2 linked regions of the Lepisosteus oculatus genome follow. The protein of the gene in region 2 interacts with the protein of the main gene of each other region in a biochemical or structural test. Links are inferred from orthologs where the notes say so. Each region holds a gene or a part of one and is shown on either strand. Other genes may lie near its edges.

Region 1 (7,860 bases), on a different chromosome or scaffold from region 2:
GTGTCTGTATTTATTTCTGTTTTTTCCCAATTCCCCCGTCTACACGCCTAACTCTCTCCCCGATCAGACTGTCCCTCTCTCTGTCCCTGCTCTGTCTGAGACTGTCTGTCCCTGTCCTTTCTCTGAGAATCTATGTCCCTCTTCTTTCTCTGAGACTCACTGTCCCTGCTCAGTCTGAGACTCTCTGTCCCTGCTCTGTCTCTGAGACTCTCTGTCCCTGCTCTGTCTGAGACTCTCTGTCCCTGCTCAGTCTGAGACTCTCTGTCCCTGCTCTGTCTGAGACTCTCTGTCCCTGCTCTGTCTGAGACTCTCTGTCCCTGCTCAGTCTGAGACTCTCTGTCCCTGCTCAGTCTGAGACTCTCTGTCCCTGCTCTGTCTCTGAGACTCTCTGTCCCTGCTCTGTCTCTGAGACTCTCTGTCCCTGCTCAGTCTGAGACTCTCTGTCCCTGCTCTGTCTCTGAGACTCTCTGTCCCTGCTCAGTCTGAGACTCTCTATCCCTGCTCTGTCTCTGAGACTCTCTGTCCCTGCTCAGTCTGAGACTCTCTGTCCCTGCTCTGTCTGAGACTCTCTGTCCCTGCCCTGTCTCCTGGACTCTGTCTCTCTCTCTCTGCAGCTGTGAGGCTGTGCTCTCTCCCTCTGGCTCTGCAGTCTCTCTGTCAGCAGCCGCTGGCTGTGAGCTGTCGCGTGCCCCAGCCTCTCTCTCCTCGGCTCGCCGGAGATATTGTCCGGCTCTGTCCCTCCTGCCGGAGCCCCTGTCAGCCAGCCTGAGGGATTGAGCTGTGTTTCAATCAGCAGGAGCAGGGAATCTTAATTAGATAACAACATGTGCTAATTAACATGCTTGGGTGACACGAGTGTGTGTCATATTTCACCCTCTCCACCACACGCCCCCCTCTCTCTCCGCTGGCTCTCGGAGTGCTGTTTGTGTGTGATAATGCCCACTCTGACTCAAAGTGCCTCTCTCTCCCTGCCCCCCCGATCTCTCCCTGCCCCCCCGATCTCTCTCTCTCTGCCCCCCCGATCTCTCGCTCTCTGCACCCCCGATCTCTCCCTGCCCCCTGATCTCTCTCTCTCCGCCCCCCCTAATCTTTCTCCCTGTCCCCCTGATCCTTCTCTCTCTGCCCCCTGATCTCTCTCCCTGTCCCCCTGATCTCTCTCCCTGTCCCCCCGATCCCTCAGACCCTGGCCCCCGATCTCTCTCTCTCTGCCCCCCCTAATCTTTCTCCCTGCCCCCCTGATCTCTCTCTCTCTGCCCCCCGATCTCTATCCCTGCCCCCTGATCCTTCTCTCTCTGCCCCCCCAATCTCTCCCTGCCCCCCTGATCTCTCAGCCCCCCGATCTCTCTCCCTGTCCCCCCGATCTCTCTCCCTGGCCCCCCGATCTCTCTCCCTGGCCCCCCGATCTCTCTCCCTGCCCCCCTCGCCCCCCCGATCTTTCAGCACAGCGTTACTCGTTGACAGCCGTAACAGCTGGGGGCCTCTGCCAGCCATCGCCATGCCAACACAACACATGAGGTCATCTCTCTCCGACATCGCCATGCCAACACAACACATGAGGTCATCTGCCCCCGACATCGCCATGCCAACACAACACACGAGGTCCTCTCAGCGCCTCCGCGGCCCCGCTAGCGCTCCCCGGAGGAGCAGGCGAGGCAGCAGGCGCTTGGCGGGAATGACTGCTGGGACAGACGCTCCGCTTGCACAGCGAGGCTCCGGCTGGGACCGGGAACCTCTTCATGGACAGAAAGGCTCCAGCTGGACGCTCTGCTTCTCGCTCTCGGCAGCCAGCCTGCAGCCTGGAGACACATCCCATCAGTCAGCAGGATCGCCGCAGTGATGAGAAGGTTTCAGACTCCAGGTGTGTGTGTGTATACAGTGTGTCCAGTAAGAGTCTGGACTCCAGGTGTGTGTGTGTGTATACAGTGTGTCCAGTAAGAGTCTGGACTCCAGGTGTGTGTGTGTATACAGTGTGTCCAGTAAGAGTCTGGACTCCAGGTGTGTGTGTGTGTACAGTGTGTCCAGTAAGAGTCTGGACTCCAGGTGTGTGTGTGTGTGTATACAGTGTGTCCAGTAAGAGTCTGGACTCCAGGTGTGTGTGTGTGTATACAGTGTGTCCAGTAAGAGTCCGGACTCCAGGTGTGTGTGTGTGTATACAGTGTGTCCAGTAAGAGTCTGGACTCCAGGTGTGTGTGTGTGAGTATACAGTGTGTCCAGTAAGAGTCCGGACTCCAGGTGTGTGTGTGTGTATACAGTGTGTCCAGTAAGAGTCTGGACTCCAGGTGTGTGTGTGTGTGTATACAGTGTGTCCAGTAAGAGTCTGGACTCCAGGTGTGTGTGTGTGTATATACAGTGTGTCCAGTAAGAGTCTGGACTCCAGGTGTGTGTGTGTATACAGTGTGTCCAGTAAGAGTCTGGACTCCAGGTGTGTGTGTGTGTGTATACAGTGTGTCCAGTAAGAGTCTGGACTCCAGGTGTGTGTGTGTGTATATACAGTGTGTCCAGTAAGAGTCTGGACTCCAGGTGTGTGTGTGTGTATACAGTGTGTCCAGTAAGAGTCCGGACTCCAGGTGTGTGTGTGTGTATACAGTGTGTCCAGTAAGAGTCTGGACTCCAGGTGTGTGTGTGTGAGTATACAGTGTGTCCAGTAAGAGTCCGGACTCCAGGTGTGTGTGTGTGTATACAGTGTGTCCAGTAAGAGTCTGGACTCCAGGTGTGTGTGGGTGTGTATACAGTGTGTCCAGTAAGAGTCTGGACTCCAGGTGTGTTTGTGTGTATACAGTGTGTCCAGTAAGAGTCTGGACTCCAGGTGTGTGTGTGTATACAGTGTGTCCAGTAAGAGTCTGGACTCCAGGTGTGTGTGTATATACAGTGTGTCCAGTAAGAGTCTGGACTCCAGGTGTGTGTGTGTATACAGTGTGTCCAATAAGAGTCTGGACTCCAGGTGTGTGTGTGTATACAGTGTGTCCAGTAAGAGTCTGGACTACAGGTGTGTGTGTGTATACAGTGTGTCCAATAAGAGTCTGGACTCCAGGTGTGTGTGTGTATACAGTGTGTCCAGTAAGAGTCTGGACTCCAGGTGTGTGTGTATACAGTGTGTCCAGTAAGAGTCTGGACTCCAGGTGTGTGTGTGTATATACAGTGTGTCCAGTAAGAGTCTGGACTCCAGGTGTGTGTGTGTATACAGTGTGTCCAGTAAGAGTCTGGACTCCTGGTGTGTGTGTATACAGTGTGTCCAGTAAGAGACTGGACTCCAGGTGTGTGTGTATACAGTGTGTTCAGTGAGAGTCTGGACTCCAGGTGTGTGTGTGTGTATACAGTGTGTCCAGTAAGAGTCTGGATTCCAGGTGTGTGTGTGTGTATACAGTGTGTCCAGTAAGAGTCTGGACTCCTGGTGTGTGTGTGTGTATACAGTGTGTCCAGTAAGAGTCTGGACTCCAGGTGTGTGTGTGTATACAGTGTGTCCAGTAAGAGTCTGGACTCCAGGTGTGTGTGTGTATACAGTGTGTCCAGTAAGAGTCTGGACTCCAGGTGTGTGTGTGTGTATATATACAGTGTGTCCAGTAAGAGTCTGGACTCCAGGTGTGTGTGTGTGTGTATACAGTGTGTCCAGTAAGAGTCTGGACTCCAGGCGTGTGTGTGTGTATACAGTGTGTCCAGTAAGAGTCTGGACTCCAGGTGTGTGTGTGTGTGTATACAGTGTGTCCAGTAAGAGTCTGGACTCCAGGTGTGTGTTTATACAGTGTGTCCAGTTAGAGTCTGGACTCCAGGTGTGTGTGTGTGTATACAGTGTGTCCAGTAAGAGTCTGGACTCCAGGTGTGTGTTTATACAGTGTGTCCAGTAAGAGTCTGGACTCCAGGTGTGTGTGTGTGTATACAGTGTGTTCAGTAAGACTCTGGGCTCCAGGTGTGTTTATACAGTGCCTCTAGTGGTGGCTTTTGTGAATAACAGTTGCACTTAAAACAGACCATCTTTTACTTTGTAACTCTTCTGTGTATCAGTTTTGTAAATGAAAAATTCTCCATAAGAAGGCATATTGTCTTTATTGTTAAACTCATGGTTTCCCTCAAACAGTTAGCTGTTTTAAAACAAGTAAACTCTCTCCATGTCAATGTTTTCTGATTCATGGTTGTGTTCGGTATGGCAACAGTCTATAATCTAATAGTATAATCTAGTAGTGTATTGTAAGTAATACATGAGCCCTGCAGACTGTTCCATAGATAGGAATTGGAAGTATATGGTTGTATGTTACTTGAACATCCTTGAATTGTACCTGATAAACATTGCATTATTATAAACACTACCCAGTTTATGCTCCACCTGTATCAGGCAGGGTGTATACAGTGTGTCCAATAAGTGCAGGGTGTAGCCTGCTGTACATCGACCCTCTCGTTATCAGTTAAATACTTCAGCATACTTCAGTTTACAGCACACGAGTGCAATGTCAATAATATGCAGCATAAGAGCTAGCTGATCTCTACACTACAGTATAAGAGCTCACTGATCTCTACACTACACAGTATAAGAGCTAACTTACAGTATAAGAGCCAGCTAATGTTTATACTAAACAGTATACGAGATCCCTGATATCTTAACGATTCAGTTTTAGAGCCAGCCGATGTCAGGATGATGCAGTATAAGGGCTACAGGATCTCTGCATTATACAGCACAAGAGCTACAAGTTGTCTATATTATTCAATGTAAGAGCTAGCTCATGTGCGTCCTGTGCAGTCTAAGAGCAAGCTGGTGTGTACGATCTACAGCAGAGGAGCTCTTAGATGGCAGAAGCATGTCTGCCCTACACGGTGATCTACGCGTCCACCCCTCCCTGGGCAGCCGGCCCCGCCCACCCGGGGGGCACGTGAGGCAGGGGGCGGAAGCGGAAGCGGAAGTGGCGCCATCTTGCCGTTCCCAGCGAAGTGGGGCTTGGAAGGGTCAGTTCCGATCCGAGCCGCGATAAAAGCAGAGCGGCGGCGCTTGCCCGGGGTGTCAGCGATCAGGCCGCACGGCAGCGGGGACCGCTGGGCTCCGTCACGCCCGAGGGGAGAGGAGTGGATGTCGCGTCCCGCCCGTCCCGCCGCCCCCCTGTGGATCTTCTCGCTCCTGACGCGCGGCTCCATGGCGCAGCGCGGCTGAGGCGCCCGGCGGGGACAGGTAAGCGGGCGCGGGGGTGTCGGGGGGCGCCCTGCTCCGTCACCGTGCGGGAGAGGGGGGCAGAGACTCGGGGAGGTGGGGGCGGCAATGGGCGCGCGTGCGTGTGCGTGCCTCGGCGCGAGGGAGCCGCTGGGCGCGTGCACGTGTCAGGGCGAGAGACTCTCCGGTCATGGGGCTTTTGGGAAATCGGTCCATCCCCGCCCCGATTCGGGAAGCAGTGTTTTGGGGTGCCGGGGCTTCCCAGCAGAGACGCCTGCAGGGTCACAGGGGCGTCCTGTCTGATCGTGCAGGATCGGCACACAGATCCGGGATTGTAACAACACCGTCACACCTGGAGCGGATCAGACTGCTGCACACTGGGACTGTAACAACACTGTCACACCTGGAGTGGATCAGACTGTTACACACTGGGACTGTAACAACACCGTCACACCTGGAGCGGATCAGACTGCTGCACACTGGGACTGTAACAACACTGTCACACCTGGAGCGGATCAGACTGCTGCACACTGGGACTGTAACAACACTAACACCTGGAGCGGATCAGACTGCTGCGCACTGGGACTGAAACAACACCGCCACACCTGGAGCGGATCAGACTGCTACACACTGGGACTGTAACAACACCGTCACACCTGGAGCGGATCAGACTGCTACACACTGGGACTGAAACAACACCGGGACACCTGGAGCGGATCAGACTGCTGCGCACTGGGACTGTAACAACACCGGGACACCTGGAGCGGATCAGACTGCTGCACACTGGGACTGTAACAACACCGTCACACCTGGAGCGGATCAGACTGCTGCACACTGGGACTGTAACAACACCGCCACACCTGGAGCGGATCAGACTGCTGCACACTGGGACTGTAACAACACCGTCACACCTGGAGCGGATCAGACTGCTGCGCACTGGGACTGAAACAACACTAACACCTGGAGCGGATCAGACTGCTGCGCACTGGGACTGAAACAACACCGCCACACCTGGAGCGGATCAGACTGCTGCGCACTGGGACTGTAACAACACCGCCACACCTGGAGCGGATCAGACTGCTGCGCACTGGGACTGTAACAACACCGCCACACCTGGAGCGGATCAGACTGCTGCGCACTGGGACTGTAACAACACCGTCACACCTGGAGCGGATGAGACTGCTGCCCACTGGGACTGTAACAACACCGTCACACCTGGAGCGGATGAGACTGCTGCCCACTGGGACTGTAACAACACCGTCACACCTGGAGCGGATCAGACTGCTGCCCACTGGGACTGTAACAACACCGTCACACTTGGAGCGGATCAGACTGGTGCACACTGGGACTGTAACAACACCGTCACACTTGGAGCGGATCAGACTGCTGCCCACTGGGACTGTAACAACACCGTCACACCTGGAGCGGATCAGACTGCTGCCCACTGGGACTGTAACAACACCGTCACACCTGGAGCGGATCAGACTGGTGCCCACTGGGACTGTAACAACACCGTCACACCTGGAGCGGATCAGACTGGTGCACACTGGGACTGTAACAACACCGTCACACCTGGAGCGGATCAGACTGCTGCGCACTGGGACTGTAACAACACCGTCACACTTGGAGCGGATCAGACTGCTGCGCACTGGGACTGGAACAACACCGTCACACCTGGAGCGGATCAGACTGCTGCGCACTGGGACTGGAACAACACCGTCACACCTGGAGCGGATCAGACTGCTGCGCACTGGGACTGGAACAACACCGTCACACCTGGAGCGGATCAGACTGCTGCGCACTGGGATTGGAACAACACCGTCACACCTGGAGCGGATCAGACTGCTGCGCACTGGGACTGGAACAACACTGCAACACCTGGAGCGGATCAGACTGCTGCCCACTGGGACTGTAGGGCTGTGAAGCTGGAGAGGATCAGACTGCGGTGCAGTGGGTGGGTCGGTGTGGGTCTGGACGCTGTGCACCTCGCACTCTTGACCTGCTCTGCCCACAGTGTGAGGCTCAGGGCTCTAACTGTCACTGGGGCCTAGGCTGGCAGTGCCGGGGGGTGGGAACTACATTTCCCAGAATTTTGTAGTCCCAAACGATGGTGCGGCGCTGAATGCGGTTCCCTTCCCCTGCAGGGTTTGGTGACTTCAATTGCTTGGTTCCGGGACCAATGTCGTCGAGGCGAGAGGCCGGCAGACAGGGACACAGCGATCCGTAAACGCGTGGAGAGAGAGAGAGAGAGCGAGCGAGACAGACTGCGAGCTTCGACTTTCACAGGTGAGGATCCCCCTGACGGGAGCGGAGGAGAGAGGGAATTCACCCCCTGCGTGTCCCTGTGTGTGTGTGTGTGTCCAGGTCTCTGTCTCAGCCTGCGTCTCTCTTTAGACAGAGGCAAGGACAGACGGACAGGTGGTTGCCATGTCGACCTCATCGCTACGGCGACAAGTGAAAAACATTGTGCACAACTACTCTGAGGCCGAGATCAAGGTGAGTCTGTCTCCGTGGCGACGGTGTGGGTGGGTCAGGGGTGGGCAAAGGGGTGTGTTAGTCAGTGGCTGGGCGGTGGTGTGCCCTGGCGGTCAGGGTCTCAGCGGGGGTTCGGGTCAGCGGGTGGGTCAGTCAAGGGCTCAGTGGTTGGATCGTTCAGGGGTCAGTTGGTCAGTCGGGGTCTCAGCAGGGGGGCCAGTCAGGGGGGCAGCGGACAGGAGCTGACGTGGCAC
Region 2 (7,602 bases):
TTCGCAAAAGAACATGATATCACCAAAAATGTCAATTGTAATGTGTTTCCTTTTAGAAGATGATACAGATTTACTTACTGGGTTCACACGCAGCCACTGCAAGAGCTGGCATTAAGATCAACAAAACCAAGAGTCCCGCTAGCATCCTTCCCAAGTGTGAAAAGAAGAGAGCAAAATATCCAAGGCAATGTTAAGTTCAGTGTGGCCAAGGATTAGAACAGTGTGGGATCGAAAATATAAAAGGGGAGGTTTAGAAAGGGTTTAATTATTAACCCAGGCTCATACAACCCTGACTGAGACATGGCAACCTCTGAATATGTGCAAACAGGTTTCTGATGTGCTCATTTTCCCTAGAAGGGCGTGTTTAATTAGATTTGAAAAACGTGCATTTATAGAAAGCAAAAAAGGATATGTTTGCCTGTGCAGAAGCAAGGGCTGATAAGATTGACTGGGATAGACAGATTATCTGGTAAACACACAAGTTGATGTAATCTGTTTTTATTCAGAACAATATGATACCCTGAAGATATTGGAGTTTCCAGCATATTTTGCAGCCTATGTGCCCCTAACACGAAGGCTTTACTTTTATCTTGTTGATTGTAACAAAGTCACTCAAAATACATGTAGGCATATTGTGTTGAATACTGAGAATTGATTCCACTAATACAGAAAAAAACAAAAGGACTGCCCATCAGGTGATCTGTTGATCCCTACTTCTTCCACACTTTGGTAAATTGATCTTGTGTTCTGCTTCCTCATCAAGCATGTAAAGTGTATAATCCTTTTACACCGACCTTAAATTTATTTATTTTAAACAAATACTGTATATTTTCTGTGTTTTCTGCCAGTATCATGCATCAACTGATTAAACTTTAACTTTTCTGTAACCTTGGGACCGTGCTATAACTGTCAAACCTGTTTCATGTAATGAGAACAGAATTTAAATCACATTCCATTTCTCTTGTCATGTGTTTTTCTGCATACCTAGAAAGAAGAGGCAATCTTAACTAACTAAACTAGCCTGAAAATCAGTGTCCTGTGGTACTATTAATTCCTTACCAGGACTGGATATTAACTTTTTCTTTTGCTGAGAGTTCATTTCTGCAGCCTCATTTCAGCTTTTATTAAATCTGGCAATCAGTATAAAGGTAACAGTGAAATGAAAGTTTAAAATACAACCTCCTTGTTAGACATATACAGTCACAGACAAATTAAAAGTGATGCAAATAATTAAATGTCATACCCGTCGCTTTTTACCAACCTCCTAAATTATCTAATACACATTATATCCTTCATGCATGTAGTAAGTGCGTGTTTTATTCTGTTTACCAGTTCCAAAGTAAAAAATGGAAACAGACATACCAATATACAACTATAGTAGCCTGTACTGTTTATTATAAAATGAATCCATATAAATATGTACAGCACTACAATAATTTCAATTTTTTTTTTTTGCTATGTGTTCCTTGTCTTATTCTACTTTTTTAAAGTTACAAAACTTATTAGAATCCAACATTTACACAAAAAGGATTAAAAGAAATGGGAGCTATCTTTCTTAACAGCAATGCCCCCTTATCCTAAAGAATACATTAAGATTTTTTTTTTAATTGGACGACCCAAATCAAATGTTTGATGCTTAATTTTGTTCCTGGTGCACCATATTTCAATAAGACAAATCAGGTTTCTATGACATCAAATTGCAAGATGTCTGGGGGTTTACTGGACATTTTGGCTAGACTGAGATATTTCATCAAGCAAGCACATGACAGGTATTTCTCAGAAAGACTATTTTTTGTGGACTCAATCTTTAATAATAATAATTATCATAATGTAAGATAAATTACTTGCATGATATGCCTTCTTTTGCTGGTTTGTAATACTTTGAGTACGTATTGCAGTAAACATTGTATAGTGAAATGTAAATGAGATTGTTATTGGAGTATGGTAGGGGCCATAATTAATAAACCATAATTGAATTATAAAGAACAATAATTTAATTGTAATCAAATGAAATAAGGAAGCACAAGACATTACTTCCTGTAAGGACATTAGAGGCAAGAAGCTAGAGGAGTTTAATCAGAAGATAATTCGGTTAATTTAGCAAATTAATTACTTTTTATCATAGTTTTTGTGTCTTTCCTGTAGGAATTAGATTGTATAACAGTCAACATACACAATTAGTTTAACATTGGTATGATTTAGAGATGGAGATAGAGTACTCTTTTAGTCAGTCACTAAGTTCCCTCGATGTTTAAGACAAAACATTGAGAAGTAAGTGCAAGAGTTTCTTTTGCACCAAGCTACTGTTTATTTTACAATGCATCACAGTTTTTATTAGAACTATTGCATTAGAACTAATGACATATATTGATCTCAAAGCTAATGTTACGTCAGGTCTATGTTATGGACATCATCGCCTAACGAATGACATGTTTTTTTTTATTAGGCTTCCTTAAATGTATGTACTGTATAATATGTCTATGGGAGAACAGATGCCCTTACTTGGAACAGATTCTAATGCTTTTGCAATTGTAACTAAAGCAATATTCTTTCTAAATCAACATTTTATTATTTATTCCTAAAAAGTAATTCAAGAAAACAAAGATCTACAAAGATCTGCTGAACTACTGACATGCTGACTGGAGTCCCAAAGCTTTCTTATATATTTTTTTTGAACGCTTAATAAATTGTCCCTTTCTATTTTCAGCACTGAACCGACTTAATTTCTCTCAGAGTCTGGCTCCTCTTGCAATGTATTTTTTCTTCAACCTCCTGAGCCACCGAGAACCCCAAACTGACTATTTCTTTGCTCAATAATACAGCTTTGTGAGGCAGCTCATTTACTGGCAGTAATTCATCACCTAGCACTCGTTCCGTCAAAATGGCGGTATAACGCACTCCGCTTAATGAGGAGTATTTAATGTATTCAATTAATCAAATCACACAGCAATACCACAGTCAAGATTTCACTGCAGCAAAAAGTCCTTACAACATATTAAGAATAATCTACAGTACCAGTGTTTTCTGTTTGTGATAAAAATGCTAACATTCTTACAAGTCATTAAAAGCAGTACATGGGTGTTACAAAAAAGTTTAAAAAATTGAAGTTTTAACACGTTTAAGAGTTACACTAGTCTGACACTCCTAAAACAAAGTATTTGGCAGTATTTTAAATGGCTTTTCAAGATTTTAGTAAAGGTTACACAACTTGAATTATTTTTATATTTTGTAACTTCAAGAAATTGTTTAACGTTTGCTTTCAGATCTCCACTGTGTTTTCTAACTGCTGTCCCTTTTCTCGGATAAAATACTGGTCCTAATAAAAGTCTGTGATATGGGAAGATTTTTGTTATGCTGGCAGAAAGTTAAGTTAAAATAACATGCATTTCAAAATGATGAATTGTATATCTAAAGCTCACGACGCCCCCTACAGTTATTTTATTACTGTTCTCTGAAATTAAAGATTTCCAGATGATTGTTCATTACTTAATCTTTTATACATACCGCTCAACCCCGTATTATTTCCAATAGACAGCATTCATTATGTAATGCTTCGGGGCTCACATGGGCACCCTTGCCACTGGTGCATTAGGTCAGCCCCCCACCGTCGGGGACTCAAACCCAGGCCTCTGGCATCACTCAACAGGGACCCAGCCTCTTGACCCAAAGAGAAATCTCCCTTTGGCTTAAGAGGCTGGGTCCCTGTTGAGTGATGCTAGAGGCCTGGGTTTGAGTCCCTGACAGTGGGGGGCTGACCTGATGTGGCAGTGGTGAGGGGTGCCCATGTGAACCCTGAAGTGTTATAGTTACTTTTTTTGATCCAGTAAAAGCAAAAACAAAACTTACAAACATGAAATGCATTAGGTAGATAACAAGGTTGCAATTAAAAGCCATCTGGGCCCATGTTAATCTGTTAATCTGGTAAAATATACATGGGCTTTTTACTAATTTAATTCAAACTTGTGATGTTTAAAAAACATGTTTATTCCATTGGTCTGTTTGTTATTTCTTAGAAATTTCTCTTTTGTAAAGTTTTTTTTTTAACCTGAACTCTGAAAAGTACATTACACTATAGTGAATGAAATATATTGTAACGCATACGGCCGACATTACAAGTTGTGCGAGCCGGCTTCCCAGCACGGTGACGTCACCGCCCTTCCCTGTGAATAGCAGGGACCACAGCTGGCGGGCTGAAGGGAGATTTCCCTTTAGCTCAACTGGCTGGGTCCCTGTTGAGTGCTGCCGGGGGCCCAGGGTCGAGTCCCTAGGAGTGGGGGGGCTGACCTGAGGCGGCAGCGGCGAGGGAGCATACCCACGTGAACCTAAGAGCGCTACAATGTGCTGCAATAAATATATCCGTCTTCACGGATGTGTATTTTAATTGATGCATTTCTGTCTTGGTATACCGCGGGTTTGCACATCGTTACTCTTTTACCTGTCATTCAAAAAACATGCAAACCTCAAGGGTAGGCCAGCTGTCACCATTGCAAAGCAGCGTGAATAAATTAATTTACTTGTCTAAAAACACTTTACAGCAGACAGCCTTTCAACAATACAGACTATTAAAGCTTGCGTTTGTTTTACTACAGTAGTTGTACTCGAGGAAGTGTTTTTTTTTTAACCCAGACGTATTTGCTGCAATAGCCGTTTTTCCTGTTATCCAACATTGTAACATACTGTACTGTAATGCAAGCCGGATCACATGCTTCTTTCAGCTTTTGACCTAAAGTGGACATTTGTTTTAGGCAGCTGCTGGAGGTAAGATAAACATTAATTAAAATGTACTAGTGATTTATGTTTCAACTGGTTACTCATAGATGAACTACAGCTATTATTTTTTTGTAGTGTAAGAGTATAATTCCTATTACTAATCAAGCAACCACAATATCTGCCAGGGGTTGTAATAAATCAAGTCCTGAATTTATTCTGTGCTCTCAAGATGACAGAACATTTGAGTTAAATTCGGGAAGTTTTGTGAAACATGGTTAGATAATATTACACATAGAAAAATAATTACACATCCCTACAGGATGGATGATGTTCGCCACGTTATCTCGCTTTCTATAACACTATAGTTTTATGTGTTCGTCTTAATACGATATAAACACAGCACGTAAGGAACATACGGTGATTTAAGGTTAGCAACAGGGTTAATGAGATCGTGTCGTACTGCACTTCAGGCAAAATTCTCAAGATTCCAATTGTCTGATCTGCAATAATCCACTGCAACAGTGAGCGACTTTTACATCTGCTTATTCAGCTTGCTATCATTCTATATTACATGTATCTTTTTTAATTCACGAAGATAATTGTGGGCTTTAAATCCCTAAACTACTCCAGATTAACTGTTTATCGAACTGTCTACACCAGTTTCACCTGAAAGTACAGACCTTAAATACAGTGTATATACTGTACATACACGTTTTACGCCTATTTGGCAACGACAGAAAAAAACTCAGCGATGCAATCGTAACTTCATTGATAAGAGTCACTGCCGCTTCAATTATCGGATACTGACCAGCTACAAGATTGCTTTCCGAGTTTGCAAGCTGACGTCAAACTCGGGATTCTTTGCTAATGGCGCCACCTTGCGTCTTGATGTTGTACTTCGCCACACTGCGCTCAGTGTAAGGAAATGTAAACTCTGCTACTGCAGATACGTGTTCTTTTTATTTTATTTTTGTATGTTTTTTCCCCACTGTTTTAGACCAGACGCGACGCTCTGGGGATCGGGGCCTGTTTATCTTTGAGCTGGTGAAGCTCCGAAACTGTCTTCTTGAATGTGTCAGGAATGGATCAGGGACCTGGAACGGCGACGGGAGGGAGTTTTATTGCCTTGAGTGAAAATGAACAAAGATATTACTCGGGTCTGCACAGTTTGTGCCAAGCTGACAGTTCAGGGAAACTAGCAGCGAGTAAAGTGATAGAGCTGTTCAGAGCATCCCACCTACCTAGCGAGACTCTTCATCAGGTAAGTGTCGGCTGTTTGATTTTATTATTAAGATGGCCGTGCTATTTTGTTGCTCTTATTACTTTGACCATCTCGGTTAAATCGGTGTATAAATATTGTTAATTTCCGTTTGCTAGTTTTGAGCAGAAGCACGGATCTCGAGTAGCTAAGCTTTCGCTGTAAGCATTTCAGGTGGTACACAGGAAACAAGACTAATGTTTATTTTCAGCTAAGCTGGTATAGTTAGGAGAATCAATTCGCTCTCCTTCAAGGCAGGAGTGGATGTGTTTGTTCGTTTTATTTTTGCTTTATTTTTTTCGTTGTCTATGCAAAAAGATGTTAATTTGCTACTTCTTTTCCGCTTTCTCCACGTTGCAAGATGAGCTGTGACATAACCTTTATTTAACTTTCAGCGTCGCTATAAGACGGCAGCTGAATTTAAAAAATAGAATTTACCAGAGAGTGTGATGATCGTATTAATACTGTATATAACACAATTCTAAAGAGAAAGATGTGGGGGTTAGTTTACCGTTGTCCTGTCAGCTGATAACATTGAAAACAGCTTGCAAAACCACCTGTACTGCACTTGATACCAGAGGGTTAGCTCATCAAATTAGTCAGTCATTAGTAGACTTTCCGGTACCATCGCTGCGTTTGACTTCATTAAAAATAATACTTAATAAATAAAAACGTGTACAGGGGCTCGATAAGTAAGCTTATGGGAAAATAAATAATGAACGATCACTTCAACTAGCTACATTTTTCAGAGGACCTCTGTTATTTGTTGTTTGTAATGGTATGCAAAGAATGTATTCGAAGCCATTAAGCTTGTATTCTAAATGCTACCTAAAAATAAATTAGGATCGGTAAGATAAACCCTCCGGAACGCTCAAAACCTGCCTGACAGCAGGTGCGCGAAAGTCATATTTTATAGGTCAGAATGGTTTCTATGGAAGCACCTATTCTATTCCCCGTTCCTGTGCAGATCTCGAGAAAGCAAAATCCACAGGTGTGCAAAGTGTAGGCTCGCTTCACTGTAACTTATCCTAGGTTATTATCTACTTTATAGTTTAAGGTAAACGAGCACACACATTCCATGTAGACTGTATCATAATTAGATGTTTCACTTAGTACCACGTGTTAATGCTGGAGACAGAAAGACGGCTCATTCCCAAGATGAGATAATTTACAAATTATATGTTATAATGTCTGTATATACTCTTTCTGACTTATTTCATATTGTAAACATAACACATCTTCGCCCACCCACATGTCTAGAAGACAGTTTTACACCGTAATGCGCACGGTCAAATGTAGGCTATCACAGCAATCTGAAATGCACGTTTTGACTTTAAATGTTCTTTGCTCATGCAGTGGTGCATTTGAATTAATAGGGGATGCGTCCACTGCTGTTGATGGTTTTAAGCTAATAGTTTTAATTCTATTGTACTTGCAATATACTTTGCAAAGGAAGAAAAACTTGATGTGTGATATACAGTATTTGTAAAGAGGAGTGGAGGCCTCTCTTTTTGTGAAATGGCTGCTCTGCACAAATATTCAGTATTAGTCTGAGTCTGAGGTACAGGTTTTGTAGGCCTTCATATGCACATTGGTCCAACAAGACACCACCACCACTGCACAGGAGTAGTGCA

What was found. The genes of interacting proteins can lie anywhere in the genome.
Region 1: the proteins of reps2 (region 2) and epn1a form a complex in vitro, tested with the Homo sapiens proteins (3 studies listed by BioGRID and IntAct, with this or other methods). The link is inferred for Lepisosteus oculatus from reciprocal best matches to the Homo sapiens genes REPS2 and EPN1.

What each region holds. Positions count from the first base shown.
Region 1 is NC_090718.1:1,393,786-1,401,645, forward strand, and holds the start of epn1a (epsin-1), read left to right. Parts: upstream 1-4,844; 5' UTR 4,845-5,152; intron 5,153-7,275; 5' UTR 7,276-7,417; intron 7,418-7,525; 5' UTR 7,526-7,558; coding exon 7,559-7,627; intron 7,628-7,860. UniProt on the Homo sapiens protein: Binds to membranes enriched in phosphatidylinositol 4,5-bisphosphate (PtdIns(4,5)P2). Modifies membrane curvature and facilitates the formation of clathrin-coated invaginations. Regulates receptor-mediated endocytosis.
Region 2 is NC_090710.1:20,782,942-20,790,543, reverse strand, and holds the start of reps2 (ralBP1-associated Eps domain-containing protein 2), read left to right. Parts: upstream 1-4,593; 5' UTR 4,594-4,758; intron 4,759-5,617; exon of another isoform or gene 5,618-5,707; 5' UTR 5,708-5,791; coding exon 5,792-5,971; intron 5,972-7,602. Other genes in the region: cltrn (collectrin), read right to left, coding at 79-145. UniProt on the Homo sapiens protein: Involved in ligand-dependent receptor mediated endocytosis of the EGF and insulin receptors as part of the Ral signaling pathway. By controlling growth factor receptors endocytosis may regulate cell survival.